Linked DNA regions of Coturnix japonica. The protein of the gene in region 1 interacts with the protein of each later gene in a biochemical or structural test. Links are inferred from orthologs where the notes say so. Each region holds a gene or a part of one and is shown on either strand. Other genes may lie near its edges.

Evidence for each region. The genes of interacting proteins can lie anywhere in the genome.
Region 2: the proteins of PATJ (region 1) and PKP4 interact in a test that uses a peptide from one of them, tested with the Homo sapiens proteins (2 studies listed by IntAct, with this or other methods). The link is inferred for Coturnix japonica from reciprocal best matches to the Homo sapiens genes PATJ and PKP4.

What each region holds. Positions count from the first base shown.
Region 1 is NC_029523.1:24,550,724-24,554,383, forward strand, and holds part of PATJ (inaD-like protein), read left to right. Parts: intron 1-1,529; 5' UTR 1,530-1,661; intron 1,662-2,672; 5' UTR 2,673-2,706; coding exon 2,707-2,728; intron 2,729-2,810; coding exon 2,811-2,977; intron 2,978-3,660.
Region 2 is NC_029522.1:33,231,461-33,234,017, forward strand, and holds the end of PKP4 (plakophilin-4), read left to right. Parts: intron 1-304; coding exon 305-378; intron 379-933; coding exon 934-1,182; 3' UTR 1,183-2,018; downstream 2,019-2,557. UniProt on the Homo sapiens protein: Plays a role as a regulator of Rho activity during cytokinesis. May play a role in junctional plaques.

The DNA of each region.
Region 1 (3,660 bases):
AAATCACACCTTTCCCCCCCCCCCCGCCTTTCCCCCCCGGCTCTTTTTATTTGAAAGAAAAGAGAACAAAAGAAACATTAGGAGTGGTTTTAACGTATTGCTCAAAGAAAAATATCACTGTAAAGCATTGCAAGCTGACTAGAGGCCAGCTTTAATCACGAGGGATCCCAAAGTGCTGTGTAAACTTGAACTTTCCTGCTAACTGTACCTGAGGTCCACTTCAGCATCTGCTGGAGAGAAGTGCTCTGCAGTGGTTCTCAGCAGTGCTTTGGGGCAGCCCAAGCAGGAAGCTGATGCTTTCTTTAATGTATTTCCTTGTGATTTTATGTTTTCTTTTTTTCACCTCCTTCTCCAGGGGACTTCTGCATGTTAGATGGAGCCTAGATATCCTACATACATTTTTCTGCTCTAATTTTTCTTCCTTGGATCTGCACCCGTTGCCATAATTGCTATTGTTACACCCGCTGTAATGGAAAAAAGATTAATCTTGGAGACTGTCAGCACGGCTCTTTGAGGCTGCCTTTGAATGACGCAGGCTATTTCTCATGGTACAGTTTGCCAGCACAGCTGAGCTACTGCAACCGCTAGTTGCTGCTGCAAGGTGTGGTCCTGTTCCCAGCCCCATCCCATGTGCTGTTGTTTGAGCACTAGGTGGGCAGGAGGCTCGGCCCCACCAAATGTGGGGGCTTGTTGGGTGTTTAACTCCCTGCTCCAGTTCACTGTGGGATCAGATGAATAAAGGCCAGCCCAGATGGGACGGGAAGGAGGACAAAATGCATGAAAGATACTTTGGCTTCTTGGCTGTTAGATGGGTACAGTGTTGTCAAGTTGTTATTTCCTGCCATACTGCATTTCTTTTCTGGGTTTAATCTTCACCCTACCACTGGCATTAAGGTGTTTCAAGTCACTTTTCCTCATAGGAGTTCTTGTGTATCTCACTGTTGCTGGTTTGCTTTATTGTTTTACTGCTGATGTGAAAACGGGGAAGTTACATTGATTATGAAGGGGAAAAAACCCTTCATATTCCTGTTTTTTAAGATTCACACAGTATTTTTAGCTAAGGAGGTGAAGTTTGGACTTCTTGGTTTATGTGAAGACTCAGGAGTATATAAGGAAATGGTATTTTCATCTGTACTTCAGAATCAGATCTCAGCACAGAATCAAAGGCCGCTGCTGTGCTATTTTGTTTCAAATAGAAAAGGAAATAAAGCTGCAGAACTCACATAAGTTCAGATGCATTCCTGAAAGTCTTTCAGGAGTTGTGTGCCTCCTCAGCCCCTCCTATGAATTTGATTTGAAATGACCTCCTAAATCTGTTAATAGTCTTGTGAAGGGACTCATTTTGCTTGGCCCTAGGTGGAAACCATGCAAGTCCACCGAGTTCTGCAGGAATTCTCGTAGAAGCCAAAATTGCTTACATTGAGCAAAGTGTACATAAATCTGAAACTGTGCTTTGTGACTTACCACCTATTTTTTTTTTTTTTCTTTCTTTTTCATCTGCTTAATTATTATTCTCTTATGTATTTCAGTGTCTTCCTGGAATTCCAGACATTTTTGGCTGGGGCGTGGATAGGATCAGAGCTGAAAGGGTCAGAGGTTCTGCTGGGTGAGCAATAATACACAAACAACCATACTCGCTCTTGGATTGCAAGATTAACAAAGTAAATGTAGAGCTTTTTTTGCAGTATAGATTTTTTTTTTTTCCCCAAATAATTCCAAATTTATATTGTTCTGAAGTTGCACTGTTATATACAGGGCATAGTCTAAATTATGTAATTTGTGCTATTAAACAGTTGACTTCTTTCAGAAGAGCTTGTACTAAGCGAAGAAATCTTGTTTCTTGTGTTTTTGGTGTAACTACTTTGATAGGTTTCAGAATGAGAGGCTCCACCTGAACTTTATAACTTGCAAATGAAAGTCCTCTAGGCCTCAGCCTCAGCTGCAGACCTGTTCTCTTTCACGTTGCAGAGAGGGTGGGAAAGGACACCATGTTCCTTTAAAGCTTGTCTCATATATAGGAAAGAGAAAGGCAAGCACATGGAGGAGAAGGACATAGTTTTCTCTTACCTATTTGACACCAAAGCTGTCACTAAGATGCTGGATTAGGAATTGGGTTAGCCAATTTGGGACATTGATGCTATGCTGTTTTGTGAGCAAAGGGGACCTCATCATTTTATGGGAACTTCTTGAAGAATTGTTTTATTTCAAGATTTCACCTGTATTGCCACATAGCAGGGCTGAGCTGTTGTGAGATACACAAATAATTAAAACAAGTGGAAGTACCTGCTAAATAATACAAAGAGTTAGGTATTGTGTATTTGAAAAGATCACAGTTTTAATGTTCTCATTCCAGATAATTTGGTTGAACATAGCTGTGTTGATTTCTTTGACCAATTTGTTGCTTTTGTTTTATAATGTGTATTATTCCTCATCTTTGGAAGAGTTGTTCTTCCTTTTCTAGTGTAAAAGCAGCAGCACACAGAACAAGGAGAAATTTGTGAGTGTGCTGGGCTGCTCTGCAACTGGCTGTACTGAAGAGCTAATTGTGGTGTTCTTTAATTAATTTTGTTATAGTTAACTTAATATTTTACTACTGCATTTATTGACATTCTACCTTAAAGCATTCTACTCAAAGATATCATGTATTTGTTTGTTGTTTTTATCTCATCTAGATTATTCTGAGTAATTCCAAAGATATTCTCCAACATGCCTGAAAACCCTGCTGCAGGTATGTAGTCTGAAAGTGAATACTCTGTTAAGTGGTGAGAAATTATGCTCCATTCCTAACATATAACTACTTTGTGGTGCAGATAAACAGCAGGTGCTGCAGATCATTGACCGTCTGCAAGCAAAACTGCGTGAGAAAAGAGATGTCCAACATAACGAGAACCTGTCTGTGCTGCGAAACACGCTCAAGAGCCCTTTGTTTAACCAGATTCTGACCCTCCAGCAATCCATCAAACAACTGAAAGATCAAGTGAGTGTAGAATTACAATTGTTGGTGTGATTATAACTATACTGAACTTGGAACAAAAGTCTGTGTAGGCATGCGCTAATGAGGACAGTCATTAATAAGCTATAAGTTGGTGCTACTGAATGTTGGCCTTTTTCTTGTCAAGCCTGTATCTATTGAGTCACTTCTGACATGAGAAATGACCTTACAATGCTCTAGTCATGGGGCACCATGCTTTGATAAGGGTGTAGAAGAGACATCGAGAACCACGTCAGTCTGAGAAAAGCATCTGCAAAAGACATCAGCTCTAATACTTTGAGTTCTGAAAACAGTTGAAACTGAGATTCTCTGTTTTTCTCAGTACTGTTCATCAGCTGACTAGCAGCACCTTGTCTCCTTAAAAGACACTATCCGTTAACTGCTGCTGACTTGTACAAGAATGGTTAACATGCTTTGGGAAATAAAATGTAGAAAATCACCCTGAAGATGTGCCAAGCTCTGATGCAGACATATCCAACCTAGCTTTTAAGTCAGTTAAGTATGGCAGTGGAAGTCATAATGCCAGTAGATGCTTGGATCTTGTAGACAAAGATGTTGTTGACACCTCTACCATGCAGTTTGCCAAGTCAGGCACGGAAGCTTAAAAATCAGGGACTAACTTGGCACACTCTATGCAACACTAATTCCTGTCTTTGCTGTTACTGAAC
Region 2 (2,557 bases), on another chromosome or scaffold:
AAATGTATTATACACCTCATATTTCAGAATCAAACATTGTTTTCCTATGCATATATATTGTTATGTTTTTATAAAGCTAAACTGGGATTTCACACTTCCCGGACTTTGCTTTTCCTTCTTCAAGTCACAAAATAAGAGATGTCAGTAAATAGGGAGCAATATTTCCTCATTATAAAGGTTTTCAGCAGGACACATGCATGGGGAAAAGAAGCATTGGGGTTTCTGCTTAACTACTGCTGAGATAAAGTAGAAGCACAGGGACAAAAAGATAGTGAAGATGATGCCAAAACCTATTTCCTCACAGGTTCCAGCAAAACGTCGCCAATTTATATCAGTTCCTATTCCTCACCAGCCAGAGAGCAGAACAGACGGCTACAGGTGAGTCTGAAGCTTTGTTCTGAAGCTATACTGAAATGACTCAGCTTACAGTGTTTTAATGGGACCTTAAAGAGCTGTAGTACACCTTGTACGGTCAGGGTGTGTTTTGTGGAGAGTATCTACACGGCTGAGCAGTACAGTGCTCAGAAGTACATAAGCCATTGCCAGCTCACCGCTGTGTTTTCCTTCGATAACCCACATCTCAGCGTGTTGGTAGCACGGTTGGATCCCAGACCCCTTTTCTGGCTTGGCAGATACTTTTGGTAGCTACAGTCAGGTTCTGTACCTTCTACACATGCCCTGAAAGCACAGCTGAGGGTTACTACTGGCTTTGCAGTGGATGCAGGCAGTGACCTGCCGACAGGCTGAGAGGTTTTCCCTGCATTAGTTTTACCTGGAGCCTTCGGGGCGTTTCATGCAGTTGTGGTCATTGGAAGAGCTACACTTAACTACCCAGGGAAAGCTGTGTGTGTGATGCATATCAGCTCCAGAAACAAGCATTTTCTCTGTTTAATTACATCTTAAAAGTTTATTTTTCTTTCATGTTGTAAACAGCATCAACAACTGTACTACAGTCAAGAAGACACCAACAGAAAGAACTGCGACGCGTACAGGTTGTACCTGCAGTCCCCACACAGCTACGAGGACCCATACTTTGATGATCGAGTTCACTTTCCTGCTAACGCAGACTACACGACGCAGTATGGACTGAAATCAACCACAAATTATGTAGACTTTTATTCCACCAGACGATCTTCTTATAGGGCAGAACAGTACCCAGGTTCACCCGACTCCTGGGTGTAGCATCAAAGGGAAAAAAAAAACCAACAGTACTTTTCTCATCGTGCTTGAGAAGAAATGGAGTGGCCTCATTTGATGTCCCGGTTATGAAATCTGAAGGTGAAATAAAAGAGGAGACAAGGAAGTCTTTTGGTTGGGGTTTTGGAGGGCATTTGGCTTTGGTTTGGGTTTTTTTGTTTTAGGTTTTGCAGGGTTTTTTTTTGTATTTTTTTTTTGGAGTGAAGAACTGTCAGAGAGAAGAACTGGAAGGGATGTTTCTTTGCTCTGTTTAGATGTTAGGTATTATCACTTGTAGCTTCTGTAGTCTGGTGAGGGTGTGGGCCATGTGATGAAAGGTTTGAGGACTGAGTCAAAGGAATTGGAAAGTGTGTAGGTCAGAGCAAATGAAGCCTGTTTTTTATGTGAATAAAAGTCTTGTTCCGATAGTTTGTACAGAAAAAAATAAAATGGATGCCCTTGTTTTATTGATATTACTAAATGTGGAGATTGTATGCTATTATGTCGTGTAAATTTCTTTCATTGGTGTAAATATGGAAATGCCACATTGGTTCCAAGTGCCATCCAGTTGTAATGCAGTGTGTCATTCTGAAAGAGATTTGAAACATCGTACACAAAAAAAAAATAAATTCCAAGAAAATGTTATAAATTTTAAAGATATAAATTAATATAGATCTCAATTAATCAAGAGCATAATTTTGAAGCACAACGTCCCGCTCAGCATCCCTGCACCTCTCCCATTCCATTCTCTGCATATTTCATACAAAAACAAACAAAAACCTTCACTGCCATTTTCTATGCACATGGAAGAACAATAAATATGGACGTCTCATCCATGGAAAGCTGGTCCCTGTTCTTTTATTGTAGTCATTTTTGGCGTGTGGTATTTCAGAACCAAATACTGGCAATGCAAAGTGCAGCTGCTTTTCTTCATCAGGTTAAACGTATCAGAATCCCCTTGGCCATTGTCTCAGCATTGCACGGTGCACATGTTCCAAAGGTGTCAGGCTGGCACAGCAAAGCACAAAGGTACGTCCTGCTCACCCTTTATTCCCCCATCACTTTGGCTACAGACAACTGGGGTTTGTCGCAGTTTCTTCCCAGCACTCCTCTGCTCCCCCCCTTGTTCCCCCCAATCAAATTTCTCTCTCCTTGCTTTCAGCGCGTACAGTCTCCCGTTTGCCTGCACTTCCCTTGGATTTATTTACAACCCAAATCACTGATGATACAGGTAACTCTCCTCACGCTGTAGAGTCTGTTGACTTCATATTGTTCTTAGTTTTTGTTCCCCATCCGAGCAAATTTCTTCGGTTTTCAGTGTCTGCAAATGCCCCATCTGTGTTGGTGCAGTGATGACAGGTAATGTAAGCAGAACTGCTCC